Saccharomyces cerevisiae S288C: one gene and its partners. Changing the gene in region 3 together with the main gene of any one other region gives a genetic interaction. Each region holds a gene or a part of one and is shown on either strand. Other genes may lie near its edges. The genes, in order: GAD1, UGA2 and UGA1.

Evidence for each region.
Region 1: mutations in UGA1 (region 3) and GAD1 impair growth when combined (synthetic growth defect), as found in Saccharomyces cerevisiae (2 studies listed by BioGRID, with this or other methods).
Region 2: mutations in UGA1 (region 3) and UGA2 are lethal when combined (synthetic lethality), as found in Saccharomyces cerevisiae (one study listed by BioGRID).

The regions. Positions count from the first base shown.
Region 1 is NC_001145.3:765,415-776,690, reverse strand, and holds GAD1 (glutamate decarboxylase GAD1), read right to left. Parts: upstream 5,891-11,276; coding exon 4,133-5,890; downstream 1-4,132. Other genes in the region: YMR253C (uncharacterized protein), read left to right, coding at 1-745; MLO1 (Mlo1p), read left to right, coding at 972-1,376; HOR7 (Hor7p), read right to left, coding at 1,760-1,939; GTO3 (omega-class glutathione transferase), read right to left, coding at 2,676-3,776; YMR247W-A (uncharacterized protein), read right to left, coding at 7,265-7,408; ubiquitin-protein ligase RKR1, read left to right, coding at 8,652-11,276.
Region 2 is NC_001134.8:245,093-253,315, reverse strand, and holds UGA2 (succinate-semialdehyde dehydrogenase (NAD(P)(+))), read right to left. Parts: upstream 6,307-8,223; coding exon 4,813-6,306; downstream 1-4,812. Other genes in the region: FLR1 (Flr1p), read left to right, coding at 1-753; DSF2 (Dsf2p), read left to right, coding at 2,300-4,510; RCR1 (Rcr1p), read right to left, coding at 6,769-7,410; GPI-anchor transamidase GPI18, read left to right, coding at 7,649-8,223. UniProt on the Saccharomyces cerevisiae protein: Catalyzes the oxidation of succinate semialdehyde to succinate. Can utilize both NAD(+) or NADP(+) as a coenzyme, but has a 2.5-fold lower activity with NADP(+) than with NAD(+).
Region 3 is NC_001139.9:523,480-534,367, forward strand, and holds UGA1 (4-aminobutyrate transaminase), read left to right. Parts: upstream 1-1,749; coding exon 1,750-3,165; downstream 3,166-10,888. Other genes in the region: YGR017W (uncharacterized protein), read left to right, coding at 308-1,201; YGR018C (uncharacterized protein), read right to left, coding at 886-1,215; VMA7 (H(+)-transporting V1 sector ATPase subunit F), read right to left, coding at 3,494-3,850; post-initiation translation factor DPC29, read left to right, coding at 4,153-5,025; MTL1 (Mtl1p), read left to right, coding at 5,785-7,440; THG1 (tRNA guanylyltransferase), read right to left, coding at 8,404-9,117; YGR025W (uncharacterized protein), read left to right, coding at 9,160-9,462; YGR026W (uncharacterized protein), read left to right, coding at 9,506-10,342; 40S ribosomal protein eS25 RPS25A, read right to left, coding at 10,653-10,888. UniProt on the Saccharomyces cerevisiae protein: Required for the degradation of gamma-aminobutyric acid (GABA), which is important for utilization of GABA as nitrogen source and for oxidative stress tolerance.

The DNA of each region.
Region 1 (11,276 bases), on a different chromosome or scaffold from region 3:
GACGATTAGTGATGCCGTTTTGATCACTTTTTTGGCACCATCACTAACAATATTCCTGTCGTGGGTTATCCTGAGGGAAAGATTCACCAAAGTGGAAGCGCTCGGTTCGCTGATCTCATTGCTGGGCGTGGTGTTAATTGTAAGGCCTTCATTTTTATTTGGAACTCCCGAATTGACCGACTCTTCCTCTCAAATAGTAGAATCATCGGACCCAAAATCGAGATTGATTGCCACTTTGGTTGGGTTGTGGGGTGTTTTAGGGATGAGTTGCGTCTACATCATTATTCGTTATATTGGTAAGAGGGCTCACGCTATAATGAGTGTGAGTTATTTTTCTTTGATCACAGCGATAGTGTCTTTCATTGGGATTAACACTATCCCTTCAATGAAATTCCAGATACCACATTCCAAAAAACAATGGATACTGTTTGGTAATCTGGGTGTGTCCGGCTTTATCTTCCAGCTGCTATTAACTATGGGTATCCAAAGAGAACGTGCTGGAAGAGGGTCTTTGATGACATACACACAACTACTATATGCGGTTTTCTGGGACGTTGCACTGTACAAGCATTGGCCAAATATCTGGTCGTGGATTGGTATGATAATCATCATAAGTGCCACGTTGTGGGTAATAAGGATAAGGGCGGCAAACAATGAAACAACTGCCAAGGACCTAACCCCAATAATTGACGACGAAGAGAACTCTATTCCCCTGACAGAGTTTGACCTATCCGATTCTAAATAAGACGAGTATAAAATTCCTCAGTTTCTACTATGATTTTTTTCCTTCTTTTCTTTTTTTTTTGTGTCATGTTGAAATGCGCAGTCCGAGGAAGCAAGGACACGAAACAAGAGAACAATAGGGAAAGTGGGGTACACGAGCATTCAGAAAACAAAACAAAAGGATCATCGCGTCGTTCAGCAAGTACCATATAAGCAGCAAAACGAAGAAGATCGAGTGTGAAGTGTTAATGTTTGGTAAAGTTTTCGTAAGCTACATCAGAACAAGAATTGGGTTCAAACCTTTAAGCACGATATACACGCCTGTTTCTTCTTCTTCGCTCAGCTTCGATAAGGAGGCATGTTTCCCCTTTAAAAAATGGCACGAACTGAATATGTCCCAGAAGCAAGAGTTTATTCAGCGTTTTGTCAAAAACTACAGGCACCAATACCCAAGTTCTAAGACCAATGTTTCGCTGAAGGGGCTGAGTATTGGCATGGACGAGCACAATGACTCGCCATCTGTGTTCGGCATATTTTATAACGATATCTGGAAATCGTTTAAGAACGAGCAATTAGGAACTAACAATGATAATATGAAATCGGGTAGTAGGTTCAGTCACCCCAGCTTTAAACAATTGTTAATACAGAAGTGATTGCTTCCGTTTCCCAATTTTTCGCTTCCCTCCGCCGCGCACACCGTTTCTTCCGATCATTTTAGATATTCATTCAATAGTTGCTTATTTTTGGGTTCTTTAGAGGAAAAAATTTTCGATTAAAATTACTTAATATTATATTGTTATATATATAAACTTGAAAGAAATTACTTTTTTTTTTGTATTCGTTTTTTTTTTTTCATTATTCACCGGAAAAGGTGAAAACTTATTACTATATTGCACACCGAGAGAAAATCATCGGAAAAATGTGGCCAATGGATTAACAATGACACATATCGCCAATAAAGGTGACTTTGGATTGTTCTTTCTACACCCGATTAACCACTCTTTCTCTTTCAATGTATTCCAAACAAAGTCTAAATTTAAATCAAAAAGGCCAAAGCACCAGCTAGAGCAACACCAGCGGCGCCTGCAACCTTACCGTTGTTTAAACCGGCAATTGGTTGGGCAGCATTCTTTGAGCTTGAGCTGTTAGAACTGTTAGCAGCACTTACTAAACCAGTGAAGGCGACGGCGGAAACAACAACTTGAGATAACTTCATTTTTTATTATTAGTCTTTTTTTTTTTTGACAATATCTGTATGATTTGATAGTCCTCTGCAATAAAAGTTAAGACGTCCCAGAAACTGTCACATAGTGAGCAACAATTTCTCCCTTTTATATGATTGAAAAACAACTCCCAGCTAGCCATAGTTTTTTTCCGCTTGCTAATTCTCTCATCGAAAGTTACATCCCTTATCACTATGTTCTCCGGCGCAGCCTGCAGCAACCACTGGCCGAAAACAGAAAGGGGCTTACCCAAATAGGAAGAAGTAGAGCTCCGCCGATAAACTGCGCCTCCCTATTGGGAAACGGGCGCCGCGGCGGCGCTAGCAAAAATGCGCTTATTATTCTATTATCGAGACTGTAGCCCCTGTTCTAGAATTGTCACGAAGGAACCGTTTCCGAGCCACGGTGCCGTTACCACTGTGAGATACACACAAGTCACAGCCATGGAGATGTCCAGCACCATTTAGTCATAGTGCGGTTGCTTCAACGGGATAGGAATAAAAGGAAGATATGAAAGGAAGAAATCGTGCGGGGAGAGGAGGGGTCCCGGGTCCGGACCGCGAAGGGAAAAGAAAGTGAATGACTTCTTAGCCCCCATCCCCCTTACAAGCGTGCTCCTTTTCCTTCCAAGTAGGTATCGCTTTGCTCTTTATGGTTTTTCCGTAGTGTATTTTTATGACGCAGTCTATGTGATGTGTGTGCGTGCTAATCGAAAGAAAAAAAAAAATTTCATGGAGGTCGGATATCAGGCTTGGGCCCCAGTGGGGTGATCCCAATCGGGTTGACCCGTGGCTGCGAGCGAGTATATCCGAGTTTTATGTGGGTAAAGTCCGTTGTGCGCTGGAAGGCTTCGTGGCGCCAGTATATATTCTTGAGCCACGTGTGTATACGGGAATAATCATCTCTGATGGTGGCCAGATTGCATTTGAAGTGTTGATGGTATACCACGTCGAACCTTACTATCGTTGGGTAGAGTCTCACGTCCGCCTCGGTCAGAGTGTCTCCGATGGCAAAGTAGCGATCTAGTATCTTGTCCTTGTTGTTCTTACCATACTCCGCCTCCAAATCTGTGTACTTCTTGTCCAGAAGATTTTCCAATTTGTCAAGATATTGAAAAAGGCTTGTTACCTCCCTCTCGTATACCTCTGCACATTCTGCAAAACCGGCCTTGTATACACCGTTGTTGATTTTATCGTACACCCAAGAGTTGAACTCTGTAATCTGTGCCTCTAGAGACCGAGGTACCAGACGGACTTGACGGTATTCTTCGCCGACAAACTCATCAAACGCAGCGGAATTCATAATTCCGATGATATCACTGCTTTCATTGTTTACTATAGTGCATGTTTCCAAGTCCCAAAGAACAGGTACGGTGAATCTTCCCTTATAGTCTGGCTTTGTTTTGAAATAGAAGTCGCTTAGTCTCTTGTACCCGTAATGCGGTTCATCTGTTCCGTCGACCAACAACCGATGCGCGTTATTGGGTATGTTAGCCACAGGAGTACTGGTATTTAAATTTACTGAGCTAATTCCGCCTGCAATGTCAAACCAGTGCCTTTCATTGGTTTTCCCATCTCCTTCTTCAAGGAATCGCCAGCCTTTGTCATCCAGGTGCCAATGCGCTACACTGCACCCGATTATAGGCGCTAGCCCTTTCAGGGCCCTGGTGATCAAGGTTCTTTGTGCCCATGGGCATGGTAGCGCCACATACAGCCAGTACCTTCCCTTAGCAGGTTTATAAATTGGGTGATCCGCAGAGATGATTTCTCTGAATGGCGATGACTGCCTTTTGAATTCAGCTTTGTTATTGCTAGCTGATTTTTCAGACATAGCTCCAGCTTTGCCGTGGTTGCAAGAGAGAGATGGAATAAGATTGAAATAAAAGACAATATATTTAAAGGCGCTGCGATGTTCTATAACCACAATTTATACAACTATATATACGTATTCCCGCATAACTTTTCTATCACTGTCCAGGCTGAATCCTCGTCGCTGTCCCTTTAGTCATCTTCCCTTAAATATCATTTCGGCGCTTAAAAGCTTGAAAAAGAAAGTAATAGTAAAAAAAAAAAAAAAAAAAGACAAAACCCGTGCCTTCACATAACCTAACTAAACAGCACTAGTACTTAAATAAAAGGTAAAGGTACATACATATAGGGGGCGGTATATTGGATGACCTTTTCAACTCAACATGTTCCTCTATAGTTTCTCGTTGTTGTTTCCTTTAGCTTATTTTTCTTTTCGATTTCATCCGGCGTTGGGATGTCATCTTGTGGAGATGCCAATGCCAGCAACATTTCGTAGATGAACGAACTCTTGCGCTCTGGAGTTTGCTCAGAGGCAAGTTCTATATGATGACAAACCTTTTCGTAACTATGAATCAACTTTGTCAAGATACTCTCGATGTCAACGATCAACAACTGTGCTAAATCCAACTTCATCTCCGATCTGAAAACCACTCTTAATACCTCCTTCTCATCGGATCCATCCGTTGCCTTTGGTAGTGGGTAATTTGGTATTATCCAACCCCTACCTCTCAGTAAAGAGGAAAGGATTGCTTGTGGCACTTCTGGATATTCTTCGTGGAATTTCTTGGACAATTTGAAGGCTACCAGCGGTACACCTGGTTTGTAAGCCTGGGGGTGTTCCCAATAGTCTTTAACTGACTTAGGGGCGGAATCGTTCTCAATGCTTTCATGGATACTGCTAACAATTTCAAAGCATCCGGGCAATTTTGACGAATTCAATAATTCGAAAGAAAACGCTCTTGCAACAAATAGAGAATTTTGGAATTGTGTTCTATACCCTGAATGGCCTAGAGAAACAAAATTGAAGTATTGATGGACAACTTGAAATCCAGGTCTTGAAAAATTCAAACCGAAAGTTTCTTCCACGCCACCGAGGTACTTTAGTTTGAATCTCAATTCATCAGCCAGTAAGGATTCATCTCTCCATAGCACCCAACCCAGACCGGGAGTGGTTAAGCCAAACTTATGACCACTAGTGTTCATACTAACCACACGCGGATGGTTGAACCCCCAACGTTCCATGCCATAAGCTTTCATGTGCTCTTTTTCAAAGCCAAATGGGATAATAAACCCACCTGAAGCGCCATCCGCATGGATTGGAATATCAGTATTGCTCCAATCAGGATGCTTGGCCTCAATTTGGGACAAGACATCTGCAACTTTCTCTACATTTTCCAAATGGCCAGTGTAGGTGGTTCCTAAAATTACAAAACAGCCAATAGTGTTCTCATCTACATAATCCCATAACGACTCTGGGTCAAGCATATGATGGCTTCTGTGGGATACCGGAACCAATCGGCATTCCACTTCAAAATATCTCGTAAACTTCTCTAATGCCACTTGGCACGCAGAAGACATTATAATGTTCGGCTTGGAAGCATCTTTACCAGCATTCTTCATTCTGTGTTCCCATCTTTTTTTCATGGCGAGTCCACCCAACATGATTGCCTCACTAGAACCTGTGGTGGCACAGCCTATTGGTTCTTCATCGGGATTAGCGTGCCATAATTGAGCTAGCATAGAAATACAACGCTGAGTTAGCTCAATTAATTGCGGATATTCATCATTGTCAGCAAGATTTTTGGTCAAATTTTCATCAATCAATTTCCTTGCCTGATCAGTGGTAAAAGTGTTCACGAAACTGGCAAGGTTCAAATGCGGATTACCATCAAGTGTTAATTCATTATGAATCAGTTGGTAAGACAAATCAGCAGGTAGTCCCTTTTTTGGAACTGAATACTTATTAGCCATGCCCTGAGACGAAGTATCTCTCATATTGTTCGATCCTTGATGACCACTTTGGACAGCGGATTTTTGAACGTCGTTAGAAAGCAATTGCAGACCTGCAAGGTCGTGGACAACTTTTCCAGCGATATTCTCGAAGTTCTTCTGCTTAGAACCGTGCCTGTGTAACATTATTCCTTGTTTTGTTCAGCCTGGATTGTTAAGAGCGACGTGTAATATCTTGAAACATTTTAGCATCGCCAAAAGGTGAGATTTCAGAGAGTGCGTTGCAGTTCAGTGGTCAATTATGCTCTCTTATATATGTATTTATGTTGCATCACTTTACTGATCCCCTTTTTCTGGTGTGCCGCACGATCTATCCCTTTTCCTTATAGAGTTCAACCTTGCTGTTAAGGGTGAAAAAAAAAAAATAGTAAAATAATGAATTTCTAATTCACTCTGATGAACTTAATAATCACAAGAATGCCTAAATTGACGTGTATTTATATGCTGCTCTTATGCAACTCTTGCTCTTAATTTGTCTAACTTGCCAGAAAGATTATTTATAAACGCAGTGAACAAGAATTTGAACAGCCCATATACTATGAACTTCTTTACTTTCACACGTTGTACATTTGCTATCGCAAATGAGATGATTTGATTATTTGAAAAATGTCAAGAACCAACTAGAATTTACCAGCATCAGCGCCTAGGAACCCGGGAAGGTACACTCTTCTAAACGAGACTGAGCATCACTGTTACTCGAGATACTTCCAAGAAAACAAAGTATAAACGGCAACCTGCGTGATAAAAACTATCTGAACACGTAGATGCGGCTACATATATAGAAAGTCAGCAGTTGATTCCGGAAGAATCCAGAGTACTATATGGTAGACTGGATTTATCTGTCCATATTTGCGGGCTTGATATTCGGATAGCATTGAGGCAGAGACAATATACAGTTTTTGGGTTAATTCTTGGCCTTGTGCTATAGCTAGCACGTCGTCGAATCCTAAGACCTTGTTTGAAAAGAATCGTCCAAAATGGGAGAACTGGCGCCAATGAATAAACCAGACGAAGGTATCACGAACATGTGCCAAAGCTTGTACCGGTACCAAATTATGCGAATGTCAGTCAGTAACAATGTCAGACCCTACTATCAACCCAGATGTAGCTCAAGTGGAACCTACTGTTCTCTCAAGCTTTTTAATAGAAACGCTCATAGAATATCATAGAGAGTTCAATAATAGCGGTATCATAGTTTATCTGATAACGTGCAAACTGTCCTGATCATGAAGCGGAGTTGAATGACAGGGTGATGGAATTGATGGCTAGTTGCTTTCGTATGCCTCGGTATAGGCATGCTAATGACACCCTAGGGTGGCTATTAGTATGTTGCAATGCCGAGAGGAGGTTGAATAACAATACCATTACATCAGCCGATAATATAGTGCATTGTATCAGCAAAATTAAGCAGTCAATTTATTTTTTTATCATTTAATGGCGATGGTTGGATAATTGTCTAAGAACAGTATTGAGTATTGCAATAAACCACTAAGGTTAGCCTCACGGCCAAACTATGTTGGTATCACTGTTACTAACAAGGTGGTTGTGTACGTGAAGGCAGATTGGCCTCAGAAGGCTCTTACCATTAAATAACAAGGCCATTATTCCACTCAATAGCTTGGCACTTGCACATTTGTGTGCCATTTACACTGAATGATTCATCTTTTTGATATCATGCAATATAATAATACAGGTGATAGAATGCGAAAAGCACGGGAAATAGGTGACTTTTGAGATAGTTGTTGAATACCATTTCCATAACAATACAATTTGGACAACATTATCTTATACCGAATATACCTTAAGTTTTACTCGAAAATATAGGAATCCATAAAAGGATCGATGATTCTTCATAATAATATTATGGTTTCTCGTTCCACTTTATATGTTGTCACTCATTATCCTATTGCATTATCAAGTCGTGCGTTCCACCCCCATTAAATTTGATGGCAGCTTTTAAATCTTTACCTTTATGCCATATTTCTACGTCGTATATGTAATAAGATGGATGCTAGACTATAGGGGGTAGGTGGTTCCTCTTCCGACATGTAGAGAATGTGGATTTTGATGTAATTGTTGGGATTCCATTGTGATTAAGGCTATAATATTAGGTATGTAGATATACTAGAAGTTCTCCTCGAGGATTTAGGAATCCATAAAAGGGAATCTGCAATTCTACACAATTCTATAAATATTATTATCATCGTTTTATATGTTAATATTCATTGATCCTATTACATTATCAATCCTTGCGTTTCAGCTTCCACTAATTTAGATGACTATTTCTCATCATTTGCGTCATCTTCTAACACCGTATATGATAATATACTAGTAACGTAAATACTAGTTAGTAGATGATAGTTGATTTTTATTCCAACACGACAATCATGAGTAATTACTTGATAGTGGATAGTAAGTTTTGATAGACACTTCCATTTTAAACTGATTTCACTTTTTACAGTGGCTAGAAATTACAATAAGAAATGGGCGTGTGGCGTAGTCGGTAGCGCGCTCCCTTAGCATGGGAGAGGTCTCCGGTTCGATTCCGGACTCGTCCAAATTTTTTGCTACTTTGCAATTAGTGTAACTTCATATTTAAAATTATAGTTAATCAAGAACAGAATATCGTCACAATGCTCTTTAAATGTTACGTACTTCTTACCTCCAGCTTGACTATATACTTGTCAATTCGAGTTAACCCAGATTATGCCCCAACATGGAAAACTGAAAAATATTGATGAAGCGAGGAAAAAAAACGTCATAGGAAAAATTCAAATGTTGCAACTTCAGATGGTTTTCTTCAATATATACAATACTGAAGAAGTCCTTCTTAATAGTTCAAATCTGCTAAGCCATCAAAAAAAGTTCAAGCAATAGTTGGTTCTTAATGTCGTTTGGTGGAATCAATACATTTCAACAGTATAACACAGATTTAGGGCTCGGCCATAATGGTGTTAGAATATCCTTAAACTACTTTGATGGTTTGCCGGATCCAAGTCTTTTAAACTCCTTGTACTCGAACGAGCTGAAACTCATTTTCAAATCTCTTCTGAAAAGAGATGAAACTACAAAAGAAAAAGCTTTAATGGATCTTTCCAATTTGATCAGCGACTTTAACCAGAATGAGTACTTTTTCAATGACATTTTTCTTCTTTGTTGGTCGCAGATATATGCTAAACTGATAATTAGTGATTACAAGGTCATCAGACTGCAATCACATCAAATTACTATAATGCTTGTCAAAAGCCTTCGGAAGAAAATATCGAAGTTTTTAAAGGATTTTATACCTTTGATACTTCTCGGTACATGCGAACTCGATTATAGTGTTTCCAAACCTTCTCTTAATGAATTAACAGAGTGTTTCAACAAAGACCCAGCAAAAATTAACGCCTTATGGGCTGTTTTTCAAGAACAACTATTGAATTTAGTAAAGGAGATTGTTGTAAACGAGAATGAAGATACCATTTCTGATGAACGTTACTCCAGTAAAGAAGAATCTGAGTTTAGATACCACAGAGTTATAGCAAGTGCCGTATTGCTGCTGATTAAGCTTTTTGTTCATAACAAAGACGTCTCAGAACGTAATTCTTCCAGTCTTAAGGTGATTCTTTCTGATGAGTCAATCTGGAAACTACTTAACTTAAAAAATGGGCAAAATACAAATGCCTACGAAACAGTTCTTCGATTGATTGATGTTCTTTATACAAGAGGTTACATGCCTTCCCACAAAAATATAATGAAGTTAGCGGTGAAAAAACTATTGAAATCGTTGACTCATATTACGTCAAAGAATATTCTAAAAGTATGCCCTGTTCTCCCATCAATACTGAACCTTTTAGCTACCTTGGATGACTATGAAGATGGGACAATATGGTCATACGATAAATCTTCTAAAGAAAAAGTACTCAAATTTTTATCGGTTTCCCGTACTTCACCATCGCCAGGATTTTTCAATGCTGTGTTTGCATTGTACAGCTCGACTAAAAGACACAGTTTTCTTGATTATTATCTTGAATGGCTTCCATTTTGGCAAAAATCGGTGCAAAGACTGAATGAAAAGGGCTTTTCTGCGAGAAACAGCGCTGAGGTTCTTAATGAGTTTTGGACAAATTTTTTGAAGTTCGCTGAGGATTCATCAGAAGAAAGAGTGAAAAAAATGGTGGAAAGTGAGATTTTTAACTCTCTGTCTTGCGGGAAATCTTTATCTGAGTACACAAAACTGAACCAGACTCTTAGTGGCGTCTTTCCACCCGATAAATGGGAGAGAGAGATTGAAGATTACTTCACTTCAGACGAAGACATAAGAAAAATAAAGGTGAGCTTTGAGAAGAATCTTTTTGCTTTATTGGTTACTTCTCCTAATAACGAATCCGCAATTAGTCGTTTATTCGATTTTTTTGTGCAATTAATCGAAACAGATCCCTCAAATGTTTTCAACAAATACGACGGTGTATATGATGCTCTCAATTACTTTTTAGATTCAGATATGATTTTCTTGAATGGGAAGATAGGGAAATTTATAAACGAAATTCCAACGTTGGTCCAAGAATCAACATATCAAAACTTTGCTGGTATCATGGCACAGTACTCAAACTCCAAATTTTTCAAAATGAATACTGACGCGATTACTTCGTTGGAAGACTTTTTTATCGTTGCGCTTTCTTTTAACTTACCAAAGACAATAATTTTAGCCACAATGAATGAGTTGGACAATGATATTTATCAACAATTAATGAAATCAGATTCCCTAGAATTAGAATTGTACATTGAAGACTTTATGAAAAATTATAAGTTTGACGACAGTGGGGAAATATTTAAAGGTAATAATAAATTTTTAAATCAAAGGACTATCACCACACTTTACCGAAGCGCAGTTGCCAATGGCCAAGTTGAACAATTTTGTGCTGTTTTGTCTAAATTAGATGAAACTTTTTTTTCAACGTTATTGCTGAATACCGATTTTCTTTCTTGTGCATTGTATGAAGTTTCAGAAGACACTAATGAGAAACTATTCAAGTTGTCATTACAGTTGGCTAAAGGGAATTCTGAAATCGCTAATAAGTTGGCCCAAGTGATTTTGCAACATGCTCAGGTTTATTTCAGCCCCGGGGCAAAAGAAAAATATGTCACACACGCCGTGGAGCTAATTAATGGCTGCAACGATACTTCTCAGATTTTTTTTCCCGCTAACGCAATCGAAGTTTTTGCCAGATATATGCCAGCAATTGATTATAGGTCATCCTTAGTGAGCAGCTTAAGTACTAACACGCATTTGCTCCTTACAGATGATAAGCCTATCAATTTAAAAAATATGCAAAAGCTCATCAGGTATGCTCTATTCTTAGATGCCCTACTTGATGCTCTTCCAGAGCGCGTTAATAACCATATTGTTGCATTTATAACTGTAGTTTCTGAGCTCGTCACTGATTATAATTGCCTTTCAGAGGAACCAAATGATCTTTACTATGATTTTGGGCATACCTTTTTCAAACATGGCAAAGTAAATTTGAAC
Region 2 (8,223 bases), on a different chromosome or scaffold from region 3:
AAAGAAACTGGTGATGACAGGTACTATACTGAACAGGATAAACTCGATAGAGAAGTTGATGCAAGAACTTTTTTGATCAATACTTTGTATAGGCCTCTCAAAATGATTATCAAAGAGCCTGCAATTTTGGCTTTTGATCTCTATATCGCTGTTGCTTATGGTTGTTTCTACTTATTCTTTGAAGCATTCCCTATTGTATTTGTAGGTATATACCACTTCAGCTTAGTTGAAGTTGGCTTGGCCTATATGGGGTTTTGCGTAGGGTGCGTACTTGCTTATGGCTTATTCGGTATTTTAAACATGAGGATTATTGTACCACGTTTTAGAAACGGCACATTCACCCCGGAAGCTTTTTTAATCGTGGCAATGTGTGTCTGCTGGTGCCTGCCTCTGTCTTTGTTCTTATTTGGTTGGACTGCTCGAGTGCATTGGATTTTGCCAGTTATCTCGGAAGTTTTTTTTGTTTTAGCTGTCTTTAACATTTTCCAAGCAACTTTTGCATATTTGGCTACATGCTACCCAAAGTATGTTGCATCCGTTTTTGCAGGCAATGGTTTTTGTCGGGCTTCGTTTGCCTGTGCTTTTCCGTTGTTTGGTAGAGCAATGTATGACAATTTAGCTACTAAGAACTATCCTGTGGCATGGGGTTCGTCCTTAGTGGGGTTCCTAACTTTAGGTCTAGCTATTATCCCGTTTATACTTTATAAGTATGGGCCATCATTACGTACAAGATCTTCGTACACAGAGGAGTAGAAAGCCGATGTTCTTACCATGAAAATTTGAATTATAATAACACAATTTTACTTATCGTCCATCTGTCGACAAAGATGTTCCACATAAGTTTACGTAAAGTTTAGCAGTGAAATAAATACTGTTCATAATGAACTTCATTGTTTATAAAAGTTGTTGTTGCAAGTATTCTCATGTTTATTTATCGCAGACTTGAAATCTTTGAAGGAAGATCTAAGGTCTACACACTATCGGTTACTTTGTGACCCTTTGCTTACCATACGGATGAAAAAAGAAAGAGGAATTACTTGAGCCACAATATCCTTCACTCATATTTGAAAATAGTACTTACTAAAGAAATATGCAACCATTTATACACGTAAGAAGTTCAATTATCAAATAGAAATTAAGCAAAATACTCAATTGAATACAGAGCAAAAGGATTAGCCATACGTTCTAGCACATTTTATGGGCCTAAGACATCATTTCCAGTTAACAGATAATATATTTCTACATAAAAACTTGGCTGTTCCACTGTCAAAGCCAAAAAGAGTCATTTGGTCATGAGAGTAGCTATGTTTCTACGACGAATCGAAAAAAAATGCATACTATTGATATCAAAATCATGCAGAAGGAACACATATTCATATATAACTAATCAGAGGATAAATCCTCTTGCGAATAAAAAGTTTGCGATGTTCTGATGCTTCAGGATTTCCTCTTAATAAATTCATATTTGAAGAGCCAAAGAACCAAAAGAATTGTACAAATTTTCTTCATCTATGAGAGGCCTAAAGGTTCGGGTTTGCTGCTATGTATCCTTGCTAAATTTTGATTATATTATGGCATTTATCGCTATTGCGTTTGCTTGCTGTTGCGCAAAAAATAATACAAAATACCTGATAATGTAAACAACGTAAATAATACAGGAAGTGATGCAAGAGAAGCTGCACAAAACTGCAGCATGCCTCACTTCGAAAAAAAAAAAAAAAAGAAGGAAGTCAGAAGAAGCAAGCCGATCTAAGACAGCTATTACCTCTAACAAGTAAGTCATAGATCAGAACGGCAATACCAGCCAGTGTACAATACAGCTGCATTACAACATAGCGTTTCTTGAACTTTTAGGTGACTGCTGGAAAAAATGAACGCGTCTCATATCGTGTGCGATGGCAACACCGGATCCCTGCGCTCAGAACATTCCGTGGACACCCACTGTCACTTCTTCGAGCCCCACCATTCCTTTACGCAGCCTGCGTGTGTTTCTGCGCGTTAAAACAATTATCACAGAAGGCTCCGGACGAAGAGCGGCAGAAAGAACAACGGTGCAACCGTCGTTGAATTTGATTATCAAATCACCTTATCTGCCATCGTGTTCTAGTAGTCTTCCATTGTATTACCACGGACATTCAAAAATAGTTCTTCTTTAGCAACTCTTTTTTTCTGTTGCCATTGCTCTTTGCGATAGCACATTCTGTTCCTCAATGCTAAATATAGGTGGAACTTGTAGGAGCCTCGAGAAAAAACAGAAAATCTAGAAAAACAAACGGACTTTTACGTCACACGAAAAGTAATGAATCAAAATTTAAAAAACACTTCTTGGGCTGATCGAATAGGAAGCGACGATCAAGAAAGAAAAGCTAACTCTTCAGAGGTTTCACAAAGCCCACCACCCAATAATAGCTTCGAGTCATCAATGGATTCACAATTTAGCTATGCTCATTCAAATAAAAGTAGCATTTCATTCGAATCTATTCAAACCACGGAAAGACTTCTTGACAAATTAGACCTCAGCTTGGAAGATGAACTGATTCTGCAAGAAGCTTTATTAGAAGAAGAAAACGCGTCGAGAAATTCGCAACTGTCACAAACAAGTGGTCCAACATTATGTATGCCTGCGTCGGAATTCCCTTCATTAAGGTATAGAACTAATCCCTCTCCAACATATATACAAGCTAGAGATCGTTCTCTTATCATAGACAATTTAAAAGAAAAGGATTCCACTTTGAGAGGCAAATACTCTTCCGGTAAAGTGGAAAGGCATTTGCCCGTGAAGTCGAGATACTCTTATATCGTCGAAGAAGATTATGACTCTGAGACTTTTAGTGGCATGAAACCCCAAATGAATAGAAATGAGAAAGATTATAAGTACCCAAACCTTGAAAATGGCAATAGAAGCACAAATAGCCCTAATCCTTTCAACTTCGAGAAATATAGGATTGAAAATACTAGACTGCACCATCTTTATCCTACGCTGATATCAGACAATAATACTAGCGTTGACAATAATGCTAATAGTAAGAATAACAGAACTACTAGTAATAATATTAATACATCTACAAAAACTGACAGAATATCCGAGAAGCAGAGTTGCCCCAATGAGTTCACAACCACGCAAAAGAGTAATTGTCTTTATCGGAACGGAAGTTCAACAAGCACCAACACCTCCTTTTCTGAAGTTGGACAACTATCAAAGCCGAAAACTCAGTCTTCTTTTGAAAGTGAATCATCCTCATTCTCCAAACTCAAGTTAACTAAGAGTGATACAACACCCATCAAACCATCTCCTAAACGGTCTAATTCCTCTACCTCGACGATAACGAAAACAAATACCATGACAAATGATATTTCATTACCTCCAACGCCACCATATAAAGCTCATAAAAAAAAAACGTCACTAAATTCGCTAAAAAAACTTTTTAAATCTCCTAGGACAAGAGCAAAAAATAAGAAAGACCTTGAGTCTGAAGGATCAAGCCCTATCCGGTCTGCCACCAATTCATTGGACTTCTCTGGGGAGAATATTCAACTTCCATCTACTTCAAGTACCATTAATAATTCCAGTCCACATTTAGCTAGGTATATTTTTCCTCCAAACCCAGTTTTCCATTTTAAAACAGCATCAACACCTCAGTCATCCACGGATAAAAAAAAGAACAGTAAAGCACGTCCAAATAGGACTCATTTGAGAACTTTCTCGGATTTCCATACAACGGAAAAAGATTCAAAAATAGGTGAACTAAGTGCACTAACAGAACAATCAAATAAGCCCTACCACCCGAAAGTTAGAAGAAGAACACTTTCTTTAGATGGTATGTTGCCCAATAATTCGACGCAATGCATGGATTCCTTCAGTCATAAAAAAGAAGGATCGAACGCAACAAGCAAGTGCGGGAAGCTTAAATTTCACCCAGAACCTTATGATAATGATGAATCTTCACACATCGGACAGGCAATTACTATGCGTCATCAAGGCAAACTTGAAGAATCTGCACAACGACTGAAAAAAGCCTGCGCGTGCGGAAACAAAACTGCGTTTCTGTTATATGGACTAGCCCTGCGACATGGCTGCGGAGTGGACAAGAACTTGAAATTATCATTAGGATATTTAATGGCTGCCACTGATATCAAATCCTTTGCTGCTGAGGTTCTTGATTTAGATATAAATCCGTTAAATTTTGCTTCAATGGACGATATCCCTGATATAGCGCCTGAACCAACAGCACCTGCCTTGTACGAATGTGGTATGGCATATTTAAAGGGTCTTGGGATGGATCATCCCGACGAGCGAAAAGGTTTGAAATTTTTGGAAAAAGCTGCTCTATTAGGCCATGTAGACTCAATGTGCTTAAGCGGGACAATTTGGTCCAAAACTTCAAACGTAAAGAAAAGGGATCTCGCCAGAGCTGCTGCATGGTTTAGGATAGCCGATAAAAAAGGTGCAAATCTATTAGGTTCAGATTGGATTTATAAGGAAAAGTACATGAAACAAGGTCCGAAATAAAGATAAAGAAACGTTGTATACATAAAAGCTTACAGAAAGGCTTAAAAGGAAAGGCATTTATTTTCGTACCATATATCTCACAAAAATAGATAGATAGATAGATATGATATTTTATGAATGGTATCACTTATTCCGCTTGTGAAAAACTTCAAAACTCCGTAAATATATGAACTCTTTTCTTTCAAAAAATTTACTTAACTTTCTATATACGAGGAGTAGAGTATTTATACATGCAATAGATATATACAATCATTACAAAGAATCATATTCAATTCTAAGTATCGTCCACGATTACTATTGCTTTAAATGCTGTTTGGCAAATTCCCAATTGTGATGGTCTTCAAAACAGTGTAATCTTCAATACCATATAGCGAACCTTCTCTTCCAAATCCTGACTCTTTAACACCACCAAATGGTATAGAACAATCCGAAAAAACACCTGTATTACATGAAACCATACCAGTTTCCAAAGCTTCAGACACAGTGTATAAAGTGTTGACATTTTTAGAAAAGACATATGCTGCTAAACCAAACTCAGTATCATTAGCATATCCGACAACTTCTTCCATAGTATCAAAAGAAAAGATTGGACATAATGGACCAAAAGTCTCCTCCTTGGAAACAATAGCTGTTGAGGGAACGTGTGACAAAATTACTGGAGCATAAAAGTTAGGACCTAACTCAGTTAAACGTCCACCTTCAAGCACAACTTTTGCTCCCTTATCAATGGCATCCTGTTTATGTCTTTCAACTTTTTCAATAGCGCTGGAGTTAATGACACAACCATGTGTAGTTTTTGGGTCCAAACCATGGCCAATTACGAATTTTTTGACCCTCTCCGCGAGTAATTTCGCAAATTTATCAATTATGGATGAGTGAACGTAAAGTCTATTTGCGCACACACATGTTTGACCCAAACCCCTAAATTTACAAGCCATGGCTTGTTCCAAGGCTTGATCCAAATCGGCATCCTCAAAGACTATGAAAGGGGCGTTACCACCCAGCTCAAAAGACAGTTTCTTCAAAGTAGAAGAAGATTGTTTCATCAAGATTTTACCGACGTTTGTAGAACCAGTAAAAGTAACTTTCTTGACTTTTGGTGATTCACATAATGTTTTACCAAGCTTTGGTGTGTTGGCATGTGAAAGAATAACATTAAACGAACCCTTGGGAAAGCCTGCCTTTTCAGCCAAATATGCCATTGCTAAAGCAGATAGCGGCGTTTGAGAGTCTGGCTTGATGACTACTGTGCAGCCCACAGCTAAAGCAGCGGCGGCCTTTCTCGTGATCATGGCGCTCGGAAAATTCCATGGACAAATTATACCGCATACACCAACAGGTTGCCTAATTGTGAATACTCTGTTGTGAGGGTTCAAGGGTTGAATAGTAGCACCATATAAACGGGGTGCTTCCTCGGCGTACCACTCAAAATACGAAGCCGCGTATTTGATTTCTCCTTTAGCTTCCCCTAGAGCTTTACCATTTTCTAAAGTAATGATGGTTGCCAGATCATCCAAATTTTCAAGCATTAAGTTATACATGTTTCTGAGCCACTTTGCCCTCTCTCTTGGTGTTGTATTCTTGTACGTCTTGAAAGTTTCATAGGCAACATCAATCGCTTCCTCAACCACGGAGACTGGTTGTTCGGGAACTCTTGCTATGATTTCGCCGGAAGCAGGGTCTACCACCTCAAAAACTTCGTCAGTGCCCTTAACCCATTTTCCGTCAATATAACCAGATTCTCTGAATAAATTAGGGTCGTTTAGAGTTGGTTTAGAATACTTACTCAAAGTCATGTTGAAATAGTAGTTTGTAAAATTTGCTTTTAATGTAGCTGGTTTTCTAGCTTAATTGATCAAATAAGAACAGAACAATAAAGGACGTTGCGAAATAATATCTATTGATCTCTGACGAGTATTTATACCCTATTTCCTCTCCATTACTGATGGTGATGTGATGTGATGTGGTGCTATCTTGTCACCCTTAATCCATTGGCCGCCTTTGCTAATCCCGCGCGCATTTTCCCTTTATCACCACCACGCCGTGCGATGGACTTGAAGTATTTACTATTGATAAAATAATACTGAGAGATTAAAGACAATGTACTGAATATAAACTATAGCACTTCAACGACCGCGGGCCTGAAGCGGATTAGGAATTAAAATAATTATTATAGAGATTGGGTAAAAAAATGTAAATATTTCTGGCAAAATATTGTAACTCAACTGTAAGAGGACAGCCGGAAAAAAAGATTCAGTTCATGACCTTGCATTTACCTTTGCCCTCTCCGGTGGGTTAATTTCCTGCGTTGTAGTCCCGCCCGGAAGCCTTTCCAATTGCTCCACCGTATCACTTACAGCTGGAACGCGCCCATTGCTAGGCCTTGTTAAACCGTAATCCGTATCTAAAGAGTTAGCTTGGTGAACTACAGCAGCGGGAGGTCTTTCTAAAGAATTAACAGATTCTGATGAACATTCTTGTACCAATGGCGGGGGGGCCACGTATGCAGCCTTATCGTTGGGGTGAAACTCGCCCCGCTGGTCATAGTATCCAAGATCATGTTCGTTCGCTGTTTCTGTATACTCAGGAACATAATCATCTGTCCGTTGCTGAACGGTCCCAGTATATTGTTGCTGAGACTGTCTGTATGAAGGCGGTGTCAACCATGCCGTACCTCTAATGGGAGCACGCCCCATCCTTCGTCTCCTTCTGTTCGCTACAAAAGTGAACAGTATTATAAGGATTACTGCGGCAACAAACAGCACAAACAAAATCCATATTCCTGACTGCCATGACGACGATGATGGCCCATAGTAACTAGTCACAAATTTGCTAACGTGATGGTTATCTGCCTTTTTCACCTCGTTTATCGCCTCATTTTCGTATGAAATAAGTCCCATTCCTTATTCTTAATTCGAGTTATACTTTCCTATTTATTGGAATGATCAATAAGCTATTACAGGTGCCTTTTCTGCATGAGCTTCCTGTCGGTCATTTAAATACTTAAAATAGAAAATCCCTTTTAAATCAAACTTTTTTTTTCAAGGCTTAGTTGAAAAAAAAAGTAAGCCTCATCATCGAAAAAAGACATAAAAGAGAGGCTTCGAGAGAGGAGGCGGAATAAGACTAAATTAAAATATGATTGTGGGGTTGACACTTTATTTTGTATTATTCCGTTCAATACAGTATTTACTGGTTTTTTTGACTCCAATTAGGCAGTTTGATACATCAACATCACTTTTATTAAACGAATTATGTTCTTCTCCCTCTGAAATCAACAGTTATTGGAACAAGTATTTTTGGAATAAGCTACTATCATGGGACAGTGTTTTTTTTATCAAGAACATAACTTCCAAAAACGGAAAACCTCAATTTGAGCATGAATACGCGTTTTCTCAGTTGTGGACTTTTTTCGTTAGGCTGTTTATTAAAAGTAATAACGATAGCATCTACCATGCCTTAAGGGTTGGAGTTGCAATAGAAAATGTTTTATTTTACTTGTCAGGTATTGTTTTATATTTTCTAACAAAAAAAATTTTCAGCCAAAATATAAGGCAATCACAGTTTGCTAGAACTATCGCTAAAAAAACATCTCTGTTGTTTTTCTTAACGAGTGCCGCTGGATTTTTAACAAGCATATATTCTGAACCATTATCTTTTTTTTTTGCATTTGTTGGTATTTGGAGTCGTGAATGCTCCATTTCCGTGCCCGT
Region 3 (10,888 bases):
TTGCGGTCCATTCATTTCCGCGGAGTTTACTGTCGAAAGGTTTTTTTTTTTTCCGCAGCATTTGGAAAACAATTGATGTGAGTAATTTAGAACAAAATATACGGCAGTAATCTCCCAAATTTGCGATACTACCACAATTCAAGATCGTGCGCGAGAGTAAGTCGAGCACGGTGCTGTATATTTTCATACATTATACATTCGAGGACCTTTCACCAAACAAGAGGAACTTAGCTGATACTAAACGAAGATTAGAAAAAGAGCAAAAAAAAACAAAAAAAGAACCACCGAAACATTAAAAGTGGGAATAATGTCGCATCAAATGGCGCCATGGATACCCATGTTTATTCAATCGTGCAAAAATAACACTGAACCGTTTGTATCATTTCAATTTGCTACTGTTGACGAACTAACGAACAAACCACGTTGTAGAACGGTAGTGTTCAGAGATTTTTTATTTCATGACAAAAGAACTAATGTGTTGACTTTTAACACTGATATGAGGAGCTCAAAGATAACTGAATCATTTATAACTCCAAATTCAAATAACTCTAGCGACAGCAAAAGATGTGAGACTCCATTTTTCGAAGCATGTTTCTATTTCCCGGAAACTTGGGAGCAGTATCGCTTCAGTGGCCAATGCTTTACAATATCTAAACAATTTAAGAAAATACCGGCTGAGATTGTAACCAAGTATGACATATTTTCACCGCGGTTTTCAGAGACAAATGATGACAGCACTGACGAAGAAATAGATACTCCAATTAACGACGACGACGACGACGATAAAAATAATGACGCCGACAATAATGACATTAACGAAGATAACAAACTTATAGAATCCATAGAGAACGATGAACACCATGAGGATGAAGACGACTACTACCCTCAACCACAAGAATGGGAGGCTGAATTACTAAGACAATGGTCCTCTCTATCAAGGCATACCAAGTCATTGTATAGGAAGCCAGCCCCGGGCCAGAAACTTACCTCTGAAACTAGCAAACAACTGGACAAACTCCATAGAGGAGTTGACGGTGCTAAAGAGGACGCTGGACTGGAAAACTTTGGTATTGTCTGTCTTTGTGTTGATTCTGTTGATTTTTTGAACTTGAAAGAGGGAAGAGGTGGTGAAAGATGGATTTTCCAGAAAACCGACGGCAAAGACGAAGATCTGTGGGAGGAACAAGAAGTGTGTCCGTGAGAAATGTCAATCATTATTGCTAACGTTCGCGATGGTTAATGCTTTGTATTCGCGCTATCTCGATTTCTACCTATATAGTTAATCTCTGTACAAAAACAATCTTTCCAACTATCCATTAATCATAGTATATTATCAGCGTCGGCGATTTTACCACGCTTGACAAAAGCCGCGGGCGGGATTCCTGTGGGTAGTGGCACCGGCAGTTAATCTAATCAAAGGCGCTTGAAGGAAGAGATAGATAATAGAACAAAGCAATCGCCGCTTTGGACGGCAAATATGTTTATCCATTGGTGCGGTGATTGGATATGATTTGTCTCCAGTAGTATAAGCAAGCGCCAGATCTGTTTACTGTAAAATTAAGTGAGTAATCTCGCGGGATGTAATGATTTAAGGGAATCTGGTTCAGGTTTTCACATATATTTGTATATAAGGCCATTTGTAATTTCAATAGTTTTAGGATTTTTCCTTCTCCCAAAATACTCACTTACTGTGTTACATTACAGAAAGAACAGACAAGAAACCGTCAATAAGAAATATAACTAAGAACAATGTCTATTTGTGAACAATACTACCCAGAAGAGCCAACCAAACCAACTGTTAAGACCGAGTCCATTCCTGGTCCTGAATCCCAGAAGCAGTTAAAGGAACTGGGTGAAGTTTTTGACACAAGACCAGCATATTTTTTGGCTGATTATGAGAAATCTTTAGGTAACTATATCACTGATGTGGATGGGAACACATATTTGGATTTGTATGCCCAAATCTCTTCAATTGCACTTGGTTATAACAACCCTGCTTTGATCAAGGCAGCACAATCACCAGAAATGATCCGTGCTTTGGTCGACCGTCCTGCCTTAGGTAACTTCCCATCTAAGGATTTAGACAAGATATTGAAGCAAATATTGAAATCTGCGCCAAAGGGTCAAGATCACGTCTGGTCAGGGCTTTCCGGTGCAGATGCCAATGAATTAGCGTTCAAGGCTGCCTTTATTTATTACCGTGCCAAACAAAGGGGCTATGATGCCGATTTTTCTGAAAAGGAAAACTTGTCTGTCATGGACAATGACGCCCCTGGCGCCCCTCATCTTGCCGTACTATCGTTCAAGAGAGCGTTCCACGGTAGATTGTTTGCCTCCGGTTCCACAACTTGTTCTAAACCAATTCACAAGTTGGATTTCCCAGCCTTCCACTGGCCTCATGCTGAGTATCCATCTTACCAATACCCATTAGATGAAAATTCTGATGCAAACCGTAAAGAGGATGACCATTGCTTGGCCATTGTTGAAGAATTAATCAAAACCTGGTCTATTCCAGTTGCTGCCTTAATCATCGAACCAATTCAATCTGAGGGAGGTGATAACCACGCTTCTAAGTATTTCTTACAAAAGCTAAGAGACATTACCTTGAAGTATAACGTTGTCTACATCATAGATGAAGTGCAAACAGGTGTCGGAGCCACCGGTAAGCTATGGTGTCATGAGTACGCCGATATTCAACCACCTGTGGATTTAGTGACCTTTTCCAAGAAATTCCAAAGTGCAGGATATTTCTTCCACGACCCTAAATTCATTCCAAACAAACCATACAGACAATTCAACACATGGTGTGGTGAACCTGCAAGAATGATCATTGCAGGTGCCATTGGACAGGAAATCTCCGACAAGAAGTTGACTGAACAATGTTCAAGAGTAGGTGATTATTTGTTCAAGAAATTGGAGGGTTTGCAGAAGAAATACCCTGAAAACTTTCAAAACTTGAGAGGTAAAGGAAGAGGCACATTCATTGCCTGGGATTTGCCTACTGGTGAGAAGAGAGACTTACTATTGAAGAAATTGAAGTTGAATGGTTGCAACGTTGGTGGATGTGCAGTCCATGCAGTGAGATTAAGACCTTCATTAACATTCGAGGAGAAGCATGCTGATATCTTTATTGAAGCATTAGCCAAATCAGTTAATGAATTATGATTGTATATTAGCGAGGCCGTGTCACGTTCCCTTTTTTGGTCTTTATATATGTGTATCTTGTTATAATTTTAAAGAAAAGTTTTATATTACTCATCAGTTGTGTGTGAAAAATATGGGCGGGTATTCACAATAGGAAAAAAAAAATGGGTTTGGTGACTGCAGTAAAGACGTGCTAAAAAAAAAAAAGTTGTTTTTATCTGAACCTTAAATATATCATTTATGAGTGTATATATTATACAAACGCAATAACAGTGGCTCCCGCCCTCCACCTCCGCCTGCTACTAGTAATCTACCAGTAATTGTGTTTGTTTTGGGAAAGATCGTTCGCTTACTCACCGAACAACTTTCTGACTCTCTTCAATACAGAGTCCTTTTCAGGGTCGTAGGGATGATCTTTAGATGGAATTTCTAAAATAGCAGGGAACGCATTGGTGAAGGAGTCCACTCTAGCTCTTATGTTTTCCGCGATATGTTGGTTGATTAGAAGGATGGCAATATCGTCTCTCTCTTCAGTAAAGTGATTAAACTTGTCAGTGATTTCCTCCTTAGTAGTCTTACCTTCTTGGTAAACAAAAAAGTTCTTTTCTTGGGTTTCAGGAGTGATTTGTCCAATCCCGGCTAACAATAAACCAGTTGTAGTATCTTCGTCAGCTATCACAGCTATAAGAGTACGTTTCTCAGCCATGATTTAGTTACTATGCGTCAGTGAGACTAGCTATGAATATAGAAATGTAGTGCTCTATTTTCTTAATTCTTTGTCAACTCGATATAATAAATGTAGTGCTTGCAATTCACGTTGGTTTTCCTGTTATCGTTCGCCTTTATTTTTTTTTTTTCTTTCGTTTTCCTACTTCCCTTTACCGGCGTAAGCGCAGTGAAATTTTTTTAGTACGCACGTACGCAAGTTTCAGCAGCAATAAGGGGAAAGATGATGATAATAACTAAGAAAAACAGCAAACTTGGTATGAACGCATCAAAAATTGGAAAATGTTGGTAAGAAATAGGTATCTGGGTGAACTGCTCAAAAACTCTCGATCGTTTAGTGTGCTGAATTCCTCGGTACGTTCAGGTCACAACAAATGGTCAACCATCAAGCACGGTAAAGCCAAGAATGATGCGGAACGAAACAAAATTAATAACAAGTTTGCAAACCAGATAGCAATGTCAGTCAAGTTAGGCAACGGTATTACGGATCCGAGCATGAATATAAGATTAGCCACCAGCATCGAGCTAGCAAATAAAAACAATGTCAGCAAAAAAGTTATTGAGAACGCCATCCGGAAAGCTTCTGGAAGCAGCGCATCGGGCAAGGACTCAAACGCTTCTGAGCTATGTGTATACGAGGGAATGGGGCCCGGCGGGGTCGCTATAGTGGTGGAAGCGCTGACAGACAACAAGAACAGGACCATAGGTCTGATAAGGAGTGCATTTAATAAAGCTAATGGATCGATGACTCCAACGTTGTTTTTCTTCGACAAAAAAGGATACGTTACAATGGTACCTCCGAAGATGTTAGACACTGAGGACAAGGTGCTAGAAAGCGTACTGGAGATTCAAGGCATCGAAGACATTGCGCCTGTGCAGGAAGACGCAGAAGATTTAGAGTGTGATACCGAAACTGAAACTACAGGCCAAACTTACGAGGCGGTGATGGAACCTGCCGATACCAATAAGGTGGCCGCCCTACTGAAGGAGCGTGGTTTCCACATCAGAGACTTGGGCATCGGCTACAATGCCAAGCCGGATATGGAAGTTTTCGTGCAAGGCGATGAAACGCTCGAGAAACTACAGAAACTGACCACAGCGCTCGAGGACATCGACGAAGTGACGTCGTTGTACACTAACGCTAGCAACGCTTAATCCAACCAAACCGTAAATAAATAATCAATACCACAAATACCTGTATATACTAAACAAACAGTAGTAATAACTGTAATAAAGAGTAAAAACAACAACAAAGACAATCGTACGTAAAAACACCAAGCGGACACCAGCACTTGCCTGCTGCGGACTGTTGTCTGCGGACTGGCGGGGGTCGAGCAAGAACCGACGAAGTAACCGACGGAAGGCGGGCGGAGACGGAGACGCAGCCGAGATCTATTTTTACTCAGCGGTAATATTAGATCATGGCTAGGGGGATCTGGAAGTACAATGATGTGCTCTCCCCCTCTCAAACACAACACCAGGATGAACTAAGGGCTCATCTCGAAAGTCGAAGGTGCCTCATTCAGGTTATTAGTGGTGCCTGTTGTGTCTTCCATGAACAAGGAGCACTTAATTACTTGTTGTTGCATGAGATATCATTTTTTTTTTTCCCTCTTTCTTGGGGTCTTGACAGTCATCAAATCGAAGTTTTTAGTTTTTCTTCTTCGGGAAGATCAATTTTAGGTAGAAAAGTGTAGATGAAAAACGAAGGATACTGCTATTTACTGTAAGTACTCTTCGGTCCATATTGGAAGACCAAGGCATAATAAGGATATATTCCGAGGAGATAATTGGGATATAATCCTCCATTGCTTCCGAAATTTGTTTAAACACTTCTAGTTCATTTCGGGTTGGTTCGATCTTCGTTTCCACTTTTAACTTACTCCCAGTTAGTATAATATAAGTAGTTAAGGTATGGCAAGCTGCAATCCGACCAGGAAGAAGAGCTCTGCTTCAAGCCTATCTATGTGGAGAACGATTCTCATGGCGTTAACAACACTACCGCTAAGTGTTCTTTCGCAGGAGTTGGTTCCAGCTAATAGCACAACATCGAGCACAGCTCCTTCCATCACTTCGCTTTCCGCAGTTGAGTCATTTACGTCCAGTACCGATGCAACGAGCAGCGCAAGTTTATCAACGCCGAGTATAGCTTCAGTATCCTTTACTTCCTTCCCACAAAGTTCTTCACTGCTTACTCTTTCGTCAACATTATCCTCAGAACTTTCCTCTTCGTCCATGCAAGTTTCGTCGTCTTCAACATCGTCGTCTTCTTCGGAGGTTACGTCATCATCGTCATCATCATCAATATCTCCTTCCTCTTCATCATCAACAATAATATCATCGTCATCATCACTGCCGACATTCACTGTGGCATCAACATCTTCGACAGTTGCCTCCTCCACACTTTCCACTAGCTCATCGTTGGTTATCTCTACGTCTTCGTCAACGTTTACGTTTAGTTCGGAAAGTTCAAGCTCTTTGATTTCCTCTTCAATTTCAACATCCGTTTCGACTTCTTCAGTGTACGTTCCCTCCTCTTCAACTTCATCTCCACCTTCGTCCTCATCCGAATTGACATCATCCTCGTACTCATCATCCTCATCCTCATCCACCCTCTTTTCCTACTCCTCCTCATTTTCATCATCCTCATCCTCATCATCCTCATCATCATCCTCATCCTCATCATCATCATCATCATCATCATCATATTTCACCCTCTCCACATCTTCCTCTTCATCCATATACTCGTCTTCGTCATATCCTTCATTTTCATCTTCATCTTCCTCAAACCCTACCTCATCAATCACTTCTACATCCGCCTCATCTTCTATTACTCCCGCTTCCGAATATTCCAATTTGGCAAAAACCATAACTAGTATAATAGAAGGCCAGACCATCCTCTCTAACTACTATACCACAATAACGTATTCACCGACAGCATCCGCATCTTCAGGAAAAAATTCACATCACTCAGGCTTATCAAAAAAGAATCGTAATATTATCATCGGTTGTGTGGTTGGCATAGGTGCCCCCCTCATCCTAATTCTACTAATATTGATTTACATGTTTTGTGTTCAGCCTAAAAAAACGGATTTCATTGACTCTGACGGTAAAATTGTCACAGCTTATCGTAGTAACATTTTCACCAAAATATGGTATTTCTTGCTGGGTAAAAAAATTGGTGAAACAGAAAGATTCAGCTCAGATTCCCCCATCGGCAGCAATAATATTCAGAATTTTGGTGATATCGATCCAGAAGATATACTTAACAATGACAACCCCTACACCCCTAAACACACTAATGTTGAAGGCTACGACGACGACGACGACGACGACGCTAATGATGAAAACCTATCATCCAACTTCCATAACAGAGGCATAGATGATCAATACTCACCTACTAAATCTGCATCATATTCAATGTCGAATAGTAATAGTCAAGATTACAACGACGCAGATGAAGTAATGCACGATGAAAACATTCATCGTGTTTATGATGACAGCGAAGCTAGCATCGACGAGAACTATTACACGAAACCAAACAACGGCTTAAATATCACGAACTATTAAATCATAGCGAAAGCAGCTTTGCCATAACTTTTCTTCTTAAAATCACCCTCGGTCATTTCGTTCTTCTTTTTCCGATTCAATTCCTAATAATTTATGCATATTACAGAACTTTTTTTTCCCTTTTTCTGTCACAGGTTTCCCAATTTTTTTGACGACTAAATAATAACATAACCACTACGTTCACTTCCCCGTATATATACATATATACTTAATATTATAAACGCATATACTTTTATAAACTTGGAATAAGTATTATATATTTATTTTGACCATCCGGAAATGCTTTATTTTACACTTGGAAAGAAAAGTGCATTTGGAAAACTTTTACATGTCACCCAAGTGCATACTGCTGACGATACAGGTTTAGAGACTAAAGAGAGCGCATGGAAGAAAACTTCAAAGGAAGAGAAGAAGGATCGCAGAGTTCAAAGGAACTCTTAATTTGGGCCCATCTTTTGAAAATATTGTCTCTGCAAAAGCTTCGAACACCATTTTGGATCCTCTGGAGAAGGCAAGACAGAATGCAGAGGAAGCTAAGAAATTACCTTGTTAGCTTAAGGTTCCTGTTCCTAAGGGTAGCGGTCACCACAAATGGAAAAGCGACTTTCCCAATGTAATTATTTTTGTTTGTTCCGCAAGTATCTAACAATATGATATATTGCTAGTTGAAAATCGAACACTCGAGTTACTTCCGTGATAGTTTAATGGTCAGAATGGGCGCTTGTCGCGTGCCAGATCGGGGTTCAATTCCCCGTCGCGGAGATATTTTTTATCATCACAAAAATAAGATAGCAAAACTGAAGAAACGATGAGTTAGTTTTAACTTTTAAAAGATCGTCCAATATTAACATAAAGGAACCCAGTTCTTTGGAAATAACAGGAAAGTGCAGAAAGTTCATTAGAAATCAACGATGATCTGATATACATATATATATATATATATATATATATATATAAAGGTTATTAATAGCCTTCGAACAACTCATCTATCTGTGCGATGACGTTAATATGAAGTATTTCTCCTTTTCTTGTTACTAGTGAACCCTTTTTAAACATTTCAGGTTCATTATTGTAGTTTATCCCACATTCAGAAAATAGTATTTCCTGTTTCTCATTACTAAATGTTCCACATAGTTTCTTCTCGGATTCCTGGGGAGTTAAGCCACACTTTATTATTAACTGCCAAAACGTCGTATTATAAAGATTGTTTATATGTGTATCGACATATCTCCAGGATAAATAATCTTTTATCGTTTGTAAATTAGGGTATGCTACACACCTTGAATCGAAATATGGCAAATGCTTGATATTCAACGGCTTTTCTGGGAAAAACTTGGCCCATAATGCGACGTAATTGGACGTGAAAAAAGAACCAAATAAAGTCGCAAGCTTGTCTTTCCTTCTGTTAAATAAAGTTGTACTTGACTTCAAAATAAATGAGTATTCGTCACTCTCCCCGAACGCCAATATAATATCATTTTTGTACTTGAGGACAAGGTTCTTAGCACATGCATTCATTAACTTCAAAGCATTTTCATCGTTTGGCTTGGCAAACTCGTAGAACTTGGAAAATTCATGAAACTTCTTGCCGTCTATTCTTACCACAATATAACACTGAGGCAAAATAACATCGTGTGTTTCAAATTGCCTTACGTATCCAAATTTAGAGTTTGCCATCCCGCTCGCATTAGGAAGTAGAATCTTTGAACATTAAGGCACATGACTGGCTATGAGCCCTTTAAGTTTTTCTCTATCCGCATGTCTTCAATTAATTCTCCATCAGTGATTTTTAAAACAATAAAAACTTTCAATCCGGGTAAAACTGAAGAATATAGAGCGAAAAAAGCGTATGTGCAGGACAAGGGATACTTACGCCAAAAAAGACCATGTCCATTTTATTATAGGATACCCACTTGCACGGCGTCAAAGTACTCAATTGGCTGTGCTTCTTCAAAAAAACTAACATACACAAGAACCAAATTTAAATTCAACTTGGTTACCCAAAGAGAGAATTCATTATAGAAAGATATAAAAATTTTGTAGAAAAAAAACAACAACGTTGGAAATGGCGAAGACTATCAAAGTTATCAGGAAGAAGGACCCCAAAAAGAAGAACCTATCCGATCCTTTAGCAAAACAAAAACTAGTTTGGAAAATCGGACACGTTTTAACTTTAGTTTTTGGTTTATTATTTTCTATCACGTATTTCTACCATGTCCTAATCTTCTTCAAATATCGTTCCTGGAAGTGGTTGTTCTTAAGGGTCAATAAAAATTACTCGTTTATTCAAAGTAAGAGATGGTACATGAAACTTTTGAGTTGGAGCCCACAGGTAATGTACCGTTTGTCATTAATTGGCGTATTTATGTCTGAGTCCGTCACAATGCAACAGAACTGGGTTGGACTTAACCCTACTTGGAATGACCTTTTGTCCTCTGAGAACTTTCATACCCTTTTGATTGCCTGTTTATGGTTCTTTGGTGGTGGTAAGTCTTTTTACAAGATTTTGCCTTACATGATTTTAAGTTATCTACACCTAACTAAAATGAACTACGAATTGAATGCTAACAAAGAAGAAAAGATCCCTTTAACACCCAAAGACAGAAAAATGCTACACTTACTTGCGTACTCTGAATTACTTGTTATCTTAGCGCTAACACTAGACACTATATTGTTTAAGACGGGTACATCCGGATTTATGCTCGTCATTTATGTTGGTATTTATTGGTTGAGGTTGAACTTCTCTCCATACGCACAAGTGGCTGTTTTGGAGTTACTTGTCAAGTTTGAAAAATACGTCCCCAAAAAATATAGAGACAAATGGCAGGTTATAAAGAACTTTATTTATATGAAAATGAAGGAGCACGAAAAGAGAACAGAAGAAGTTGCCAGATACGCGTAAGAAATTCTCTAACTTAAGATGACCAGATGTCATGTTCGTTTACTTATTTTCCTCTCCTCTTACCTTTTTTGGCCACTAACGCTCGTACAGAAATGGACGGCATACATACAATTTAATCAATTCTCTTAAATACCGTTTTATACCTCATTTCTGACTTTTCAGCCGTTAATGTTCCTTTTTTTTTTAGACTATTGTATGTATCACTTCCTGAATGATGTCTTCCATAACACAAACGTGACGTGCAAATAAACATACATAAAAATATTATTGAAAATACAGATTATTTAAAATTATATAACCCGTTCCCTGTTTATTCAGAAGCAGTAGCTCTGGTGTAGATAGCTTGCTTGGAGTGCTTGGAGATTGGCTTGATGATACCTTCCTTTTCCAAGTGTCTCAAAGCAATTCTAGCTAAAGAACCACCAATCTTTAATCTGTCGACCAAAACAGAGACAGAAACGTATCTGTAAGTTGGAACTTCCTTCAAGATTCTGTCGTACTTCTCTTGGTCTAAAATGACAGCGTGTTGAGCTCTGTCTTTCATGG